Schizosaccharomyces pombe: one gene and its partners. The protein of the gene in region 1 purifies or fractionates together with the protein of each later gene. This does not show direct contact. Each region holds a gene or a part of one and is shown on either strand. Other genes may lie near its edges.

Region 1 (4,304 bases):
GTAACTCCATACCTAGTTGTAACATAGCATAAACTTTCATAAAATATGCAACAAAAGCCTCTAGGTGAAAAATTGATTTGTTGCCCATCCGAGTCCTATGTTCATAATTCGCTGCAGCTTGAATTAAGTATGGATGCAATTTAGTGTCCACTTTTGAAAGAAAAAAAGACAGAAGTTCCTTCAAAATTGTGGTAGGGGGAATGCAGTGAGAAAGAAGATCATACAGCATTGAGCGAACAGCCAGGATACGTGCAGGGCTTTGTTCTTGAAGCATGGAATCACCGACCTGCTGGATAAATGTTTGCCAATCAGGCAAAGGGAGTTGCGCACCAGTATCGATTAGTTGCTTGTTGCCTGGAGATTTTGCATGAACGGTCTCTAAGAGCAAGATGGCTTTTCTAAGATTCCGATCACAATTATTCGCTATATTATTAAGCAGAGAATCCGGAGCTTCAAGGCCTTGGGCTGTCAAGATTTTAGACATTACCAGGATAATTTCCTCTGGCGTAGGGGCTGCAACACGAACCATTAACGTACGAGATCGAATAGGCTCAATAATTTTCGACGTAGAATTGGCAATTAAGATCAGACGAATGTTATTGGAATATTTTTCCATGGTACGACGAAGAGCCGCTTGAGCGTCTCTAGTTAATTCGTCAGCCACATTGATTACAACGACTAAGGAGCATGTTAGTACGAGCGCAGATAAAAATAAGGAAAAGAATTGAAAGTTCACCAACCAGAATATAACATGAGACACCTAGGAACAAAAAAGAGCACAAAAATTCCATATTGATTTCACTTTACAGTGAAGACATACCTTTAAATATCTTTTTAGCTTGTAAGTCAACTTGTGCAGATTGAGCCACATCTTTTAAAAGCTCCTGCATAATGACTCGGTCGTAATTTCCGACATCGCTGGGCGTAATTTCCAAATGATGAAGACTTGATACAATATTGATCTGTAATTTTTTACTACTAGGAGTCAAGAAAGTTCTTTGATCGATTTTCAACTACATTCATTGTGAGCATGTATATTTAATTAAATGAAAGTCAGACTATGAAGAAACATACCTTCTCTGAGCCAGGTCCATACAATTCTCGTAATATAGCAACCACCCGAGTTTTTTTTCCTGCTCCGCTGGGCCCATACACTAACAAATGGGGAAACTCATTAGTAGACGACAAGGAAATAAGACGTTCTGAGAGTTGTTTGTGATAGTCCAAAGATGCAAGCGTCTTTGGACGGTATTGATCTAACCAAAGCATTTATTCCAAGATTTAAAGGTTGGAACTCGGTTTTTGGTAAAACCCTTCAGTAACGCAAAGGACAAGTGGATGTACTTAATGGAGAAATACAACGTGCATGTCAGTGTATTACACCAAATTGTTAGATGATAAAACTTTTAACTTCTAAACAAACCGAACTGTTTTTCCCATTAAAATAAGCTCTTCAAGATACCTTCCGTTCTCGCTAGTTTACACATATTATGGAAGTTACTGAACATTGTATTTGAGTGGGAAGTATTTTACAACACTTGGTAATTTTATTGTTTATTCAATTCTATTTCGTAGAGCGCTCTAACTTCATTATCGATAAACATTTGAAGCTGTTACATAGTTCAAACTTCTTCTCGTATACTTACTGACCAAACTATGTTTTTCCACCTTGCTTTATTCCTATAAAAAAAATAACTGTTTAAGAAATTATTTAAATCCCATTCATTGATAAGGCAACTTGACACGCTAACGTTGTAAACTTTCAATTAAATGAATCAGCTGCAAAACTCAGTTTCCTTTGACGAGCACTTATTCTATAGAAAATGATATATTACAATTCTTCTTATATTCAAGTACATGTGAGCGATTAGTCCGTTTACAACCTTTTTTTATCGATAAGCTAAATTATCCATTCAATAAATGACATTTCCTAAATTAAATTGACAATTCATTCTTTTTTTTATTTTACCTTGTAAGGTTTTTTAAAATGGTTTTAAAATTTGCCCTTTAAAAGGACACGTTCCTACCTTCGTGGTGAAAGTTTTTCTCATTACCCATTTCAACAACCAAATCGATTCTTGCGATATACGACAAAAGTTGTAGTATTTCAAGATGAAATTGCTTCTTGGTGATGAAATCGGGCAATTAAAATGTAAGAAATCCACTCACAAGTTCGTCGGTACTAATAAAGGTGATTATAGTCATAGAAATAAAAAAAGGTACTGACACCTCAAACCCCGAGTCAGAAGCACCAGTTATTCAGAAATTTGGAGAGTTAGATCGAGAAAAAGGAGTGCTTTTTATGTTGAAGCATGAAATGGTACGGAATTTTTGAGATTTCTGTGATAACGCATTATGAACTAAAAAGAAGCAACTTTATTGACGCTTGTTTCTTCGTTACTATTATCAAATGGATTGCGCGTTACTAGGATATCCTGTGTTTATATTTCGAAAAACACTGATTAACTTGTTAATTTTAGAATGTATTTGTCGCTCGGAAAAATGGTACTATTGAATGTTGGAACGTTAACCAAGAACCACCTATTTTGTCTAGTCTTTGGCAATTGGACAGCTCTTTATTAGAGACTGCTTCCATAGTTTCCATGAAATACTCTAATGGTTGGCTAATGCTTGCTTTAAGTGATGGAAATTTGTTGTTTAGACACATTGAATCTTCGAAGCTTCGAAAACTTCAATTACATGGCCCCCTGTCCGCTGTTGAGTTACATCCAAGAATACCAGGAATAATCGCTGCTGGAGGAAAAGAAAACGATGTTTGTTTGTATTCTTGCAATCCTACGTGCAAATCGAACATTGATGAACTAGAACTTTGGCGAACAGAAAACGTGGTAAAAGTTTTCCAGGGAAAAAATGTAAAAAATGACTCCCTGAATCTTAGAGTGCGCGTGTGGATCACTGGAATTGTGTTCACGGAAGATATTATTAATGTTATTGACGGAAAGTCCGAAGACGATGAAAGTCTGTGCTTCCATTTTGCTACGATTACTCATTATGGTCAGGTAAGCAGTTGATAATATTTTGATTATTCACAGTATTGAACCTTTATTTAACAACAAATAGTTACGCTTTTATGATACGAAACACGGCCGCCGCCCGGTTTCCACATTTGATGTCTCTACTTCACCATTAAGTCATGTTGGTTTGCTTCCTTCAATCAAGTATGTTTTATCGATTTTTTGCAAATCAAAGGCATTATGGTAATAAATAAATTGAATATTTCCAAAGCCATTTAAAGATTTTTTTCTCTTTTCTTTCTAGCACTCATATTGACCAAATTTAGGTTACTTTACTTTGCTGATAAGCGTGCTCAAATCTCAATTTTTGACCATTCAAAGAAAAAAGTCATCGGAAGATTTCAAGGAGTAAAGGGTGCCCCTTCTTCAATTCATTGCCTTGGTAATGTAGTTGCTATTACTGGTTTAGATAGAAACGTCAGGATTTTTGATGCTGATAGAAAACCGCTAGCAAATGCATATATTAAAGCTCTTCCTACCAGTATTATTGTTATTAATGAAAGAGATGCCGAAATAATTAAGAAAGAAGAGGAATTAGAAGCGGCAAAAGAAGAAGAGGAAGAGATTTGGCGAAACATGGAACAGTTAGAAGATACAGAAGATAAAAAGCCTTCGAAGAGGATAAAACTTTGAAGAAATACTGGTCTTGTTGGGTAAAACTATGGATATATATATTGGTAAAGTTTTGTGTTAGATATGGGATCTTAATAAATACTGTTATGGATTACATTATATACAGATTACTTAATTCCAGTCGTATTGTAAATTATATATTGAAAATTGGATTAATGGCAAAAGCTGCAGACGAGAAGCACAAATAAGTTGAAAGATTAAGAACAACAGCTTGTAATTGCAGTCATAATTCGTCTATTTAAAAACATTAAAATATAGTAACTAATTTGATGCATTCATTTTTCGAGAGAAGATTTTTGAAGAAAACAAGTGTTTGAAACCAATTTGTTACGCAAGGAACGAGAACTCATGACATTGATTGAAGACATTTTCGAACAACATGCCTTGCAAGTTGCACACGAATAATCAATCTACTTTCAAATTCGTTGTCTCCACCAAAATCACGAGCTTTTCTCAGATAAGCATCACAATGCTTCAATCCTTCTTTTTTAGAACCATTGCTCTCAAAAAACGCTACCGCCATTTCATAATGAGCAAAAGCAACAGCCCATGTCTCGGTTGTACGAGTAACAGCGCATATTTTTTGAAGGATAGGGAAAACTTCGTCTGTGCGACCCAAGTTACGTAAAACAGTAG
Region 2 (4,349 bases), on another chromosome or scaffold:
AGCAATTTCTTCCAAAATCAACTAAATATTACCTTCTATTAAGACATAGATTAAAAAACCGACAAACCCTTCCTCTTAAAGTATTGTATACCCATAACTTCTAAGACTCGTTTATTATATTCCGCAAGTTAGAAAAATAGCAAAAGAAGTCACTTCCTAACCTTTAATACCTAAAATCTCCCTTAAAGCAACTGGGTCGCTTACTGCTGCTCGCTTTTGTGCCAAAAATTTTCTTCTGGTATGGAAATGAATGCTAGCGGGTCGGTTGCCTTCTTTGACCTTCTCGACAGAGGAAGTGGACTCTGGTTTATCCTTTAATTTTATTTTCTTTTTCTTTTTCTCTTCTTTGTCGCTTGAGCCTGATTTTCTCTTTTTTGAAGAACTTTCCTTATCCTTTTTCTTGTGCTCTTTTTTCTTCTTCTTCGTTATTTTTTCCAACTTTTTAGGATCAAGAGCCGAACCAGTAGAGGTCTTTTTCTTACTTTTCTTCTTAGAAGAGTGCTTCTTTCTTTTTTCACGCTTAGCTTCATCGGATGAAGACGCATCTTCACATACACGATCCTCATCCTCCTCTGCTTTTTGCATCCATTCAGAAAATTCACTAGTAAACGTCCCACCCAAAACAAATCGTCTGGATAGCTCAAGTGATTTTAAACCCTTCTCATTCGCACTCTGTCTCTCGTATGTTAGTTGCTGCACCTTTGCTTTCTCAGCATAGACACCATACGCAGACTCATCGCCGTTAAGTCGACCAAAAATAGCGTTGAATTCACCTAAACCGCTCCATTCAAGATCGTTAGTTGCTTTGGCTCCAATTCCCAGTGTATCATCTTTTAGGCTGACCTTGATGTTATGAATGCGACCATGTTGCTTTTCACCCAAGCCATTACCATTCACCCAACCGTAGGAGGATAAAAGCTTAAATCCCAATCTATTTGTATCTTTTGCCCATTTAGAATTCCGAGGATCCACACCAATCTGTTGTTTCTTTTTTACACCAGCCAAACCCATGATGTCCTGTTAATCTTCAATAAAATTTTTTTTTTATCGACGATCAATATGTGAGAGGACAAAAAAGAATGAGAATAAATTATAAGAAGTAATCAATTGTAAGAAATAATTAAAATTGCGAACAGCGCAAAGTAATATACATAAAAATATGTAGCAGCCTGAGTCCTAAAATCCCACCAAATCCTAGAACCGATGAATTCTTTCCCAAAATAAAACCTTTTTCGAGGATAGAATCAATTGAGTCTCCTCTTCTTTTATAAAAATATAAACACACGATAAATCAACGATCTAAACAAAGTCTTCTCGCTAATTGAGAAACTCTCCAAAATTTCTCGAGTATTGCACTCAAATTGGTGAAAAAGGATAAATTGATAGATCTTTATTAAGTTTTAAAAAAGAAAAGTACTGGTTCTTGGAATTTCTTGAAAAGTGGTGGGCTCAAGAAGGGAATATATGCAGTTGGTAAACCGGCTATGTGTTAAAAGCGCTATAGATGCTTTCAAAGGCATAATTGAAATCTTCTTTCAAATAACGTGAAAGCATTCCAAAAAATTACAATGTTATAATGAGCTGTAAATAATACCGGTCAAATCATCATTTAAGTCGTTTTAAAAGAAGTATTTCAAAAGACGTTAAATCTTACAATTCGAGCATACTCTGGAAAAAAATAAGCTTTAAAAAAGTTTATCCTTTTACTTTTAAAGCATACTTTAAATCTTCTAATATTATTTTTGTTATTCTTAGATTTTGTTCAACTGTTACTTTTCTACTCAAAAAAAAAAGCTGAATTAGGACCGCTATCGATGAATACGAATTGGGTTGATTAAACTTGAAAATTCTTAAAAAACAGTCTCGTAACATCTTGATCAATTCAGCCAAAAGTCATTATCCTCATTTTTTTGGTACTGGAAATTTTGATCTTTTCGACACTCCTTCCACCAACAACAGAATGGATGCCCAAAGCGCTCCTTCAGGCCAAGTTCAAGTCCGTTTTACTACTAGAAATGAGGATTTAGCTGTTGGTGACACGCCGATTTTTGTTCCTACATCTTTAAAGCGGTACGGCTTATCTCAAATTGTAAATCATCTTCTAAAAACAGGTATGTTTTCAGTTAACACATACTGGGTCAAAGCAGGAGAAAAGTCGCATAATTCAACCAACTTGAAGAAAATTTGAAGCAATAGAATAGCTGGTCTCATGCAAGGCCCAATTACTATAAAACTGTGTAGAAGCTGAAATTTGTTGGCGAGAATCAAATGGGGGCTTCTCGAATCTAAGAGTTACTCTAGTGTTCTTTTTCACGCCTTTCTTAAAATTTTGTAAAATTCTTGAAGATGCATTACTAAAAGCCCTTTTTTTATTTTTTTGTCTCTTTTACCTTTCATCCTCGTTTTGCTTCATTGCTATACAATTTTGCGATTTTTTAGTTAATTTAATTTATTTCCTTACTAACTTTACTAGAAAAGCCAACACCCTTTGATTTTTTGGTTCAGGGTCAGCTGTTAAAAACTACTCTCGATGAGTACATAGTTCAAAACGGATTGTCTACGGAGTCGATTCTTGATATTGAATATATCCAATCTACATTACCACCTGCATATTTAGCTTCTTTCTCTCATGACGATTGGATTTCTGGTATTCAACTAACCTCAGATACCATTCTTACTTCTTCATACGATGGGATAGCTCGTGTTTGGGATAAAAGTGGTGAAATAAAATTTCAATCAACTGGATGTGGATCATCTTTAAAAAGTGCATCCTGGCATATACCTAATCAAAGTTTTCTCACTGCTTCACTTGATCAAAAAATTTTTCATTGGGTGATCGAAGAGCCAGAATCAATGTTGGATGCTGAAAAGAAAAGCTCCGGTATCCTTCAAACTCTTTTCGTAGGGCACAAGGATATAGTTGAGCGCGTACGATCCTTAGAATCTTCAAGCGTTTTTATTTCTGCTTCTGCGGATAATACTGTCGGAATTTGGGATTTTGAAAGGTCTCCTGAGACTACCCTCGAGTCCTTTTCCTCGTCTATATCTAAAAAGAGACGTCGCAAAAATGCAGAATTCACACCTCAAGCTGGGGCTCGCTCTCCGCTGATCCTTTGTGAGGGGCATACTGGACCGGTGATGGATATCGTCTTTTCTGATGATCCAAGTGTTGCATATTCCGTAGGCCAAGATCACACAATTAAGACTTGGGATCTCATTACTGGGCAAAATGTTGATTCCAAGATAACCAAAGCTCCTCTTTTATGCGTGGAAAAACTTACTGACCTACACTTAGTCATTTGTGGTTCCTCTGCGCGACACATTGTTGTTCACGACCCTCGAGCGGGAAGCGACAAAATTGTGAGTCATACTTTATCCGGCCACAAGAATTTAGTTTCCGGATTATCGGCAAGCCCAGAAAATCCCTATATGTTTGCATCCGTCTCTCACGATAACACTTGTCGTGTTTGGGATGTCCGTGCTACATCCGGCAGTATTTACACAATTTCTAGAGCAGAAAAAACAGGCTCTCAGTGGGATAAACTTTTCGCTGTTGATTGGAATAAATCCATTGGTATTGTTACGGGAGGTACTGACAAACAACTTCAAATCAATCAATCCTCATCCTTTGGAAAAAGCGAATGAAAAAAGATGTAGCATAAAAAAAATTGACAGATTATGATTTAGTGTGGTACAAGCGGGATAAGTTAAGGAACAAGGTCATTACTACTAGAGATTAAAAGTTTGATTAAATTATTTAAGAGAACACTTTATTAAAGCAAAATAAGTTAATAATTCAAATTATACACACCACGTAGCTTAGTAATCGTGTAATAAACTTAAGCTTCAGAGCAAGTCTGTGAAATGTTTTGAAGAGTCTGAAAAACTGGTTTCTTCCGGCTCCTCTTCCTCTTTGACTGAGCTTTGATTAAACATCAGAGAGGAAGATGATTGCGGGTTTTTTCTACCAGAACCAACTGTAAAAATTGCAGTAGCATTTATACGAGTGTTAAATGGCTCTCCGGAAGGAAAATGGAAACTTTTGTGCAATCGTTCAAAAGGAGAATGAAAAGGTGTTTGCCTTTGAACGGTCGAACTGGAAGGTTTAGATGAAATAATAGAAATTAAAGAATTTGAAGATGCAGAAGAGACGTTTGAATAGGATCTAGTACGGGATGAATTCCTCGAAGAAGCAACGGAAGAACGCCCAGACAAGCTGCGTATGGGAGTTCGTGATCGTCGAGTCGGCTGGGGAGATATGACAGTATTTTGCAGAGGAGAAGGTGGAATATCAATATTAATTGAGAGGTTCGAACTTTTAGAAGGGCTATTTTGAGAGTTCGAGGGGA
Region 3 (4,398 bases), 2.2 Mb from region 1:
AAAGAGCAAGTACTGTACTAAATACAAAGAAAAAGAGGAAAGCCAAAAGAAACAGTGCTTTGGCTGGCTTGGCGGCCCTAGTGTAAATTTCTTGTTTTTGATTAACTCCCTTTACGCTCGTTTTTTTTTTTTTTTTCATCATAAGTCCAATAGCAAAAGAATTCTGTAATAGCGTTGTTGTGCTATCATATTGCGTATATAATAAATTTAGTTTTCTTGGCTTTCTGCATAATTTTGACTTATTAATAAAATTACATGTTAATTAGCTAGCAAAACTTGATTTAACTTTGATGCTGATAAAAAGATGTTGAAATTCTAAATGGAACGTTCTTTAATGTCCATTAAGTTGCTTCATTTCAAATCCTTTTTTGATGACTGATTGTAAAATTAAAACTGCTAGTTGTAGGAAACAGGAGACCAGACAATGACAGTAATTAGTATATTAGTAAAATTTTCCGGACTAAAATTCGTAAAAAAAAAGAACAAATTAGATTACAATATTCAAATATTTTCACGAGCTTTAGTATTTATATTATTATAGGCAGTACCTAAATTCACAAAAAATGCCATTATTTGTTGTATAGTAATTACTTTACCCTCGACATTACTCATAATGGTTCAATAGTGTTAACAAAAACTGATATTAGTAAAATCTTTCTATTCTTTAGTATGTTTATAACGAAGACCAGCTAAACATGAATTTCTTGATCCGGGCAAACTAACTGCGTATAGTTGATATTATGCAAAGTGAACGAACTTATTTATTTGTAGTAAAATAATAGCTCTATAAAAGTAAGATGATCGAAAAGAAACTTATCACACTCTTACTATAAAGTGCTTTAGCAATACGATAAATTGGGTGAATTTTCCCTTTACACAAACATATACATACGGTCTCATAAATCTCAGCGCTGATACACTATGCTATGTTATTCAACGTTGAGTAACTTTGTATGCCATAAGTTGAAGTGAAATCAGATTATTAATAACTGCGTATACCCGTCTATCTATTTAACACAAAAACCGTTGATATAAATTATTATAAAAATGATAAATGGAAGCTACAACTGAACTGAGGAGCGAGGCTCATATAATAATATTTTAGTGACAGAAAACGACGTAACCTGAATATAAGAATATCTATTACAAATTGCTATATATATCATATGCGTACTATATAATTTAATAAATCACAAGGAAGACTCATCGCAACTCTACCTGTCGTTAAAACAGATGCCTAGCTGCGTACCTGAAGATTTGTTTATTTACCGTAAAATGTAATAAACATAAATACTTTAATATATCACTACTGTATTGCTTAAGATTATAACTTACTTGAGTAGCTAACAACTAAATCGTCGAACATTGATTCACTTGGAGTAATTGTAGAAGTTTTGATAGTTATTTTAAATTACAAGACCTTTACAAACTTATCAAAAATCAATTAGTCCCTTGCCGCAAAGATTTATCTCAAAAGTACGGAAAAACACAAATATAGCGAAATTTAACGTAAAATAGTATAAGAAAATTTAGCGCTGTGAGATAATACTACCATCTAACACCATTTACGCAGTGCAGAGAGCTAAGCTAGTCTGTATGAAGGATTTTGGATTTTGCAAAATTCTTCCAACACCCTCTTTCTGCAAAAAGCCATCAAATTGAAGAAATGGCGAGGGTAAAACAGAAAGGTATGTAGCTTGTAAAAAAATTTTCTAATTGAAAACAGGGAAAGCAGGTGCAGCTCGTATCTACATTACGAGAAATCAAGCGCTTAAGAAGCTTCAGCTCACTCTTGCTGATTTTCGTCGTATTTGTATTTTAAAGGGTGTTTATCCTCGTGAGCCAAAAAATAAGAAAAAAGCAAATAAAGGCTCCACTGCTCCAGTCACTTTCTGTAAGTCTAATAGCATCAATTTTTACCGGAATCATAGCTATCTGAACATGGACGTTTGGTATAAAAAGCATTTTCCGAATGGTCAATTTTATCATGGGCTAGTCTTTTTTTGATGAACTAAAAGAATGAAATTATGTACTAATAAATATAATAGATTATACTAAGGATATCCAGTATTTGTTACATGAGCCTATTGTACAGAAGTTTCGCGAGTACAAAGTGTTCGCTCGCAAGCTTAGCAAAGCATTGGGAAAAGGGGAATTAGAAACTGCTAAACGTTTAGAGGCCAGAAAACCCACTTATTCTTTGGATCATATCATTAAAGAGCGTTACCCAACCTTCCATGATGCCTTGAAAGATATTGATGATGCTCTTAGTATGCTGTTCTTATTTTCAACTATGCCTGTTACCGACAAGATTGGTGCCGCTACTGTCGCTAATTGTGAAAGATTATGTGCTGAATTTCAACACTATGTAATTCGGTCAAATTCCCTTCGTAAAGCTTTCCTCTCTATTAAAGGAATTTATTATCAGGCCGAGATTTTTGGTGAGCAAATCACCTGGATTGTTCCCTACAAATTTGCTCAATCTGTTCCTACCGATGTTGATTTTCGTATCATGCACACTTTTTTGGAATTTTATCAAGCACTTATGGGGTTTGTAAATTTCAAGTTATATAATACCTTGGGACTTCGTTATCCCCCTAAGATTGATGTTGCTAAAAGCGAATCTGCCGCTGGTTTAGCAGCTTATGAGTTAGAGGAGTCTTCTTCCTTACCCGCTATCGTCCATGGTAATAACAAAAATGCTCGTAAGAATATTGCTACTTTAAAAAGTAAAATAAGAGATATTGTGAATAGTGATGCGAACGTCGTTGAGCAGTCGGAAAAAACTACTGAGGATGCTGATGAGGAACCTGAAACGGAGGAAAACTTAGATGAGTTTAAACCAGCTGATGGTGCAGATAATGAGGATTCCAAAAGCCTAGTATCACATATTTCATCATCTAATACCTCGTTGTTTTCTAATTTTACTTTTTTCCTTTCTCGTGAAGTCCCCCGTTTTTCTCTGGAATTTGTGATTCGTGCCTTTGGTGGTAAAGTTGGATGGGATCCAATTCTCGGATCAGGTTCTCCATTTTCAGAATCTGATCCTGTGATTACTCATCATATATGTGATCGTCCTCATATTTCACAGAAGTACGAAGGTAGGATATATATTCAACCACAATGGGTATACGACTCTATCAACAAAGGAATCTTGGAAAGGACAGACTTGTATGCCTGTGGCGCTACGCTCCCTCCTCATCTTAGTCCATTTGTTAAAGTAGGTGAAAATGACTACGATCCTGAAGCTGAACTTTCTGCTGAAGAGAACGACGATGTTTCCGAAGCTCTTGATGATAATATTTCTGGCGAAGCAGTGCCCATAAGTAAGAAGAATGACGAGCCTGAAAATGTTGAACAAATTGATGACGCTGAAGAGGAAGACTTAGAACATCAACGAGAGCTGGAGGCAGAAGCAGGCGGTGTCGCTTATTCTGAATATGTTAAACAGAATTCTAAGTCCGCGAAAAAGACTAAGAAGCGTCAACGTGATACTTTGACTGCAGAAGAAAAAGAAGAAAAAGAGGCAAAGGAGTTATCCAAAATGATGATGAGTAATAAACAGAGAAAGCTTTACAGTAAGTTGAAAAACGAAAATAGCAAAAACGAAAACTACAACAATGCGCTTCGCAATCGGAAGAGGGATATTGAAAAGAGGAAAAAATTAAAGGTTGAAAACTAGGTTTAATAAACAGTAATCATAGTAATAGATTATTTTGGGTCATTTACTTTTTGTTTCTTAAAATGAGTTCATTGTATTTTACTGTATCCATGGATTAGGTTCGTGTTCAATTTAATTGAAGCTGATCGTTTTTATATAATAAATACACTTTTGCTTAACATTTTTTCGACTGGGAGATAAAGAAGATGAATATCAATTTTTGAGATATATTATAAAATATTAATTTTATGTAGTCAATATTTATTTATAAACGTACAAATAATAATAATGAGTAAAATAAAACTCACGGTAATTTTAAAATAGAGAATGTAAAATATTTAAAGACAAAAAGAACAAAAAAATGAAGGCAAGACAACACTTTTTTTTTATTTTTTAAATTGACTTTCAAGGTTACAGTACGTTTAAGCACTGTAAAGCCAAGGCTTTTCAACCAACATCGAGGCCTGTGACGGAACTTCATGTAAAGCTAAGGGTTCAAGCAATTCTTTATGAATAACGTTAAGAGCCTTTACAGCCATTTTCTCGTCAATAACGCATGAAATGTTGATTTCACTAGCACCTTGACTAATCATCTCAATGTTGATTTGGGCTTCAGCAAGTTTGCAAAACATACGACCAGCGTAACCGGTAGTGTTTCTCATGTGCTTACCAACAAGAGATAGAATAGCTAAACCATGGAGAATATCAAGCGTTCCCAATCGACGCAATTCAACGAA
Region 4 (4,866 bases), 400 kb from region 1:
TTAATTGGTGGTATATCCGATGTTGATGTTGAAGACTGGAAGAGCCACACCGAGTATCGCACTTATATTGCTACCGATCCTGTTATCAAGTGGTTTTGGGAAATTATTGCTGGCTGGAAGAACGAAGATCGTTCAAAGTTATTACAGTTCGCTACAGGCACATCACGCATTCCTGTCAATGGTTTTAGGGATTTGCAAGGAAGTGATGGACCTCGCAAGTTTACTATTGAAAAGGCAGGTACACCGGATCAACTTCCAGTAGCACACACATGTTTCAATCGCTTGGATTTACCTGATTATCCTTCAAAAGATACACTGCATGAAAAATTGAGCCTAGCCGTTGAAAACACGGTAGGGTTTGGAAACGAGTAATGACAACAATCTTGAAATTTCATAATCACTCAACGAAGTCTATTGTATGAATTAAAAATTTTTTTCTTTAAAGTAAGAAACCTATAGCTTTAATGTGCTTTCATCAATATCAACGGCTATGGGGTTTCCCAATGTATAACCACCTTTTATTGTGTCCTTTTCTTTAACTATGGATGGTTTTTGCTTCTCATGAAGTAACGCGATGTGTCTTATCGCGCCTCCAGTCATTGTCTAACTAATTTTTAAGCAACGAATGCTTCCGTTAGAATATCTGGCTATCATCACTATAAACGTTCGTTACCCAAAGGTTATAAGTGTTCGTCCAAAAATTGACAGCAAACGTTTTTGACGGGAGTGGAATGGACGTTGTTTCGTCGGTTCATGAAACCACTGTTCACTAAAGAAATGTCAAGCGTTGATGTTTGCTTAAACACTGGTTTATCTTAAAATTAGCTGCCCGTATCTGTAGCCTTGTCGAGAAGCTTTATGGTGATATTTTGTAACCAGCAGTTCAGAGGTTTTTGACATGGTGCTTATTTCGTTCGTTTGCTGTAATTAGTTGATCTGCTAAAATCGGATTTGTATAGCTATTAGCATTGGCGACACGAATTCAAAACGTATTGGGTTGAGTATGCATTCGCTACCTTAGATCCATTCGGAAGTTAATGGTATGATATGCTTATTCTGTTTCTTCATTTAAACTTTTTTTGGCCAATGATTACTTTACGTTCAGGTGTCCTTTCTGCTGCAACTTTTAATCTTTCTTTATTTATTGTTATGTCGTTTTTATGTGGTATAATTTTCAATCATCTACTACAGCTAAATGTGAAGTGTTTGCTGACATACTCCTGGATTGACAGATTCTCGGGCTTCTTTACGCATATCCTTAAGTGGAGTTTTTCTTAATTATCATAATTCTGAAATTGTATAAAAACTAGGTATGAATAGTATATGAATGGGGATACTAAGCTAGTACGTAAAAACTTAATCAAATATATCTTTCTTACGCATTGATGGTCAACAAAATGAGTAAATCATCTAGTAAAGAGTCAATTTCTAATATAAGTGATTTCAAGTAGGAATGAGTAAGTAAGCATAATTGTGGGGGCAGCTGAAGAGAAATTGAGAAATTTATCAGCAAGATTTACAACTTACTAAAAATCCACTGAACAAATGTGGTATGCAATGCTTTCAACTGAAATTTGCAATAAGAAACTCCCAGTACTCATATGTTCGTCCTTGCACTAAGCTTCAGCTAGAAGGCTGCAAACATTGGCGAAAGCACATATACTGCTCGGTTGATAGGAAAGGCAGGAATTGATTAATAATTCCTTTTATTTTGTTGATTTTTTTTTATTATATAAAAGAAAAAACAATGAGAAGGTCTGGTACATCGCTTAGTCGTGATTTGGAGCGGAAAATTCATGAACGTTTGGTTTCTTTGAAAGATACCATTCAACAAACAGAAATTGAAGAGTGGCCAGTTTCTACTCGTCGGGCTATTCAATTTGTTCAAGAAAGGGACATGTCTCTTCGAAGAATTAAGAAGCCAATCCTTGAAAAAGTTGTCGAAAAAGTTTTAGACACATTGAAGGCCGAAGTGGAGGAAAAATTAGCTTCCTCTCAGGATTTAGTACTTGTTGATAGCGACATGGAAGAACAATCTGACTCAAACTTGATGGAAGTTAAGGTATGCTTTGCTGCTCTTTTGCATTTTTATGAAAACCATTTTTACTAAGTATTATTTACAGGATACCAATGTGATTAACAAAAGCATCACTAGTCTTTGGAGCTCTCCAAACTTGAAAGAAATAGATGGAGAAGATGAGAAAAAGTCTGTTGGTCAGGAATCGATTACTGGATCTGCCAAAAGAAAAGATCGTCGATCCAAGACTAATGGTTCAAAGCGTCAAAAAGGTTTGTTAGAATTTATTTTAGTGGAAAAGTGATTTATATAAACTAACACTTTTTTAAAGCGGAAGCGAATAGAGAACCACCAAGTGACATTTCTTTGAGTGATATAGGAGGACTAGATGATTGTATTAACGAATTGCTTGAGCTAGTCGCAATGCCGATCAAGCATCCTGAAGTATACCAATATACTGGAATTCATCCTCCCAGGGGTGTACTGTTACATGGTCCTCCCGGTTGTGGTAAAACTATGTTAGCCAACGCATTAGCCAACGAATTGGGTGTTCCCTTCATCTCTATATCTGCTCCCTCTATTGTTTCTGGGATGTCCGGCGAATCTGAAAAAAAAGTTAGGGAGGTCTTTGAAGAGGCTAAATCGTTAGCCCCCTGTTTGATGTTTATAGATGAAATTGATGCCGTTACTCCCAAACGTGAAAGTGCTCAAAGAGAAATGGAACGTAGGATTGTCGCTCAATTCCTTACATGCATGGACGGTATGTATTTAATATCGTTTTTTCTAGCTTACTAACAGTTCAGAACTTTCTTTTGAGAAAACTGATGGCAAACCTGTCTTGGTAATTGGTGCTACTAATAGACCTGATTCGTTAGATAGTGCATTACGCCGTGCAGGAAGATTTGACAGAGAAATATGCTTGACCGTCCCAAGTCAAGACGCTCGCGAGAAAATTTTACGTACTATGGCAAAGGGTTTGAAACTTAGTGGAGATTTTGACTTCCGTCAATTAGCGAAGCAGACGCCTGGTTATGTGGGTGCCGACCTAAAAGCACTCACTGCTGCTGCCGGCATTATAGCAATAAAAAGGATTTTCAATGAAATTTCTCCGCTGAACAAATTGGACCTTAATTCTGATCCCAGATTTAATGAACTTGACAGTGATATGGCCTTAGATTCAAACGACAGCTTACCCCTTGATCATTCTTCTATAATTCAAAGATATTTGAATGCTCATCCTGATCCACTATCTCCAGAGGAACTTGAACCACTCGCTATTTGTCCACAAGATTTTATTGAAGCACTCGCCAAAGTTCAACCTTCGTCTAAACGTGAAGGATTTGCTACCGTTCCAGGTGTTTCTTGGAATAATATTGGTGCACTAAAATCAATTCGTGTCGAATTACAAATGGCCATCGTTCAGCCCATCAAACGTCCGGAGCTTTACCAAAGCGTTGGTATCAGTGCACCTACAGGCGTTTTACTATGGGGTCCTCCTGGATGTGGTAAAACTCTGTTGGCTAAAGCGGTTGCAAATGAAAGTAAAGCAAATTTTATATCCATTCGTGGTCCAGAATTGCTTAATAAGTATGTTGGTGAGTCAGAACGTGCAGTGCGACAAGTTTTCCTCAGAGCACGTGCATCTTCTCCATGTGTTATCTTTTTTGATGAATTAGATGCGATGGTACCCAGGCGTGATGACTCACTGTCAGAAGCCTCGTCAAGAGTTGTAAATACCCTTCTTACTGAACTGGACGGTCTTAGCGATCGTTCAGGAGTTTATGTAATTGCTGCTACCAATCGACCGGATATTATAGATCCAGCAATGCTGCGTCCTGGTCGTTTAGATAAAACATTGCTTGTTGATTTACCGGATGCTCATGAACGGGTGGAGATTTTAAAAACGTTGACAAAACAGACGCCCTTACACGAAGAGGTAAATTTGGATGTACTTGGTCGAGATGAAAGATGCAGTAATTTTTCGGGTGCAGATTTGGCTGCCCTTGTGCGTGAAGCAGCTGTGACAGCTCTGCGATCAGCCGTTTTTGCAGATATTGCTTCAAATGAACCAGAAATTACACAACATTCAGCATTAGAGCCAATTCGTGTGACAAATGCTGACTTTGAGTTAGCATTCAAGAATATCAAGCCAAGTGTCTCCGATCGCGATCGACAAAAGTACCAACGACTGGCAAAGCGTTGGTCTTCGGCAAGTACAAATGATGCTGACTAGATTGAAATTATTGTTTACGGATTTCGGGTTTGTAGTTATATTGGACCTATGTAGTTTGGAAGTTAGGGAAAAATAATATTTGGGTTTTTGGGTTATATTGATTACTGTGGCATAATGAATGGATATTTCATTTGGTATTTGATAAACTACAATGTAAATTTATAAGTAAGAATCTAGGAGTATAGGAAATTTCATAAAACTTTCTTGTTTATCATTTTCTGTTTCGAGAAGTAGATTAAACAACAGCTATTAATTTTGTATAGCATAAGTTTTTATCTGTCTGGTTATACAAAAAGTTTGTTTAGGAAGAATAATGTACTCATTTTCTTTGTAAGGTGTCAATACTTGTGCAAGTCGAACTTTGACCCCGACATTTGCTTTAACAATAACAAAGAACACTTTTAAGGTAATAGAATTAATAATATTATAAAGTCAATAGAATATTTTTATACGGATAACTAAATTGAAACAAAACTCTTTGAGCTTGATTGGCGTAAGTGTTTCTTCAAACTAGTAGTCAGTGCTGTGTGCAGAACCAAACACACCCTTAACCATCACCTTTCCTTAAACGACGATGAAGCTGGGAATTTTCGGTTTATTACTTTTTACCTTTTTT

The links.
Region 2: the proteins of wdr74 (region 1) and ytm1 purify together in Schizosaccharomyces pombe (affinity purification with western blotting, with the first as the bait; one study listed by BioGRID). This does not show direct contact.
Region 3: the proteins of wdr74 (region 1) and ppp1 purify together in Schizosaccharomyces pombe (affinity purification with western blotting, with the first as the bait; one study listed by BioGRID). This does not show direct contact.
Region 4: the proteins of wdr74 (region 1) and rix7 purify together in Schizosaccharomyces pombe (affinity purification with western blotting, with the first as the bait; one study listed by BioGRID). This does not show direct contact.

Annotation. Positions count from the first base shown.
Region 1 is NC_003423.3:1,534,787-1,539,090, forward strand, and holds wdr74 (ribosome biogenesis protein wdr74), read left to right. Parts: upstream 1-2,036; 5' UTR 2,037-2,112; coding exon 2,113-2,152; exon of another isoform or gene 2,153-2,201; coding exon 2,202-2,320; exon of another isoform or gene 2,321-2,396; intron 2,397-2,480; coding exon 2,481-3,020; intron 3,021-3,081; coding exon 3,082-3,179; intron 3,180-3,301; coding exon 3,302-3,668; 3' UTR 3,669-3,781; downstream 3,782-4,304. Other genes in the region: DNA replication factor C complex subunit Rfc5, read right to left, coding at 1-678, 821-1,013, 1,075-1,269; SPOM_SPBC83.16C (uncharacterized protein), read right to left, coding at 4,015-4,304. UniProt on the Schizosaccharomyces pombe protein: Involved in the biogenesis of the 60S ribosomal subunit.
Region 2 is NC_003424.3:5,006,469-5,010,817, reverse strand, and holds ytm1 (ribosome biogenesis protein Ytm1), read left to right. Parts: upstream 1-1,939; 5' UTR 1,940-1,960; coding exon 1,961-2,111; exon of another isoform or gene 2,112-2,219; intron 2,220-2,392; exon of another isoform or gene 2,393-2,473; coding exon 2,474-3,645; 3' UTR 3,646-3,802; downstream 3,803-4,349. Other genes in the region: pxr1 (PINX1 family ribosome biogenesis protein), read right to left, coding at 157-1,011; serine/threonine protein kinase Ppk16, read right to left, coding at 3,847-4,349. UniProt on the Schizosaccharomyces pombe protein: Component of the NOP7 complex, which is required for maturation of the 25S and 5.8S ribosomal RNAs and formation of the 60S ribosome.
Region 3 is NC_003423.3:3,710,888-3,715,285, reverse strand, and holds ppp1 (pescadillo-family ribosome biogenesis protein), read left to right. Parts: upstream 1-1,628; 5' UTR 1,629-1,666; coding exon 1,667-1,688; intron 1,689-1,700; exon of another isoform or gene 1,701-1,726; coding exon 1,727-1,894; exon of another isoform or gene 1,895-2,048; coding exon 2,049-3,682; 3' UTR 3,683-3,867; downstream 3,868-4,398. Other genes in the region: nucleolar protein Dnt1, read left to right, coding at 1-86; hom3 (aspartate kinase), read right to left, coding at 4,084-4,398. UniProt on the Schizosaccharomyces pombe protein: Component of the NOP7 complex, which is required for maturation of the 25S and 5.8S ribosomal RNAs and formation of the 60S ribosome.
Region 4 is NC_003423.3:1,931,283-1,936,148, reverse strand, and holds rix7 (AAA family ATPase Rix7), read left to right. Parts: upstream 1-1,646; 5' UTR 1,647-1,747; coding exon 1,748-2,062; exon of another isoform or gene 2,063-2,123; coding exon 2,124-2,289; exon of another isoform or gene 2,290-2,348; coding exon 2,349-2,777; exon of another isoform or gene 2,778-2,820; coding exon 2,821-4,250; 3' UTR 4,251-4,339; downstream 4,340-4,866. Other genes in the region: HECT-type ubiquitin-protein ligase Pub3, read left to right, coding at 1-372; erp5 (COPII-coated vesicle-associated protein Erp5/Erp6), read left to right, coding at 4,825-4,866.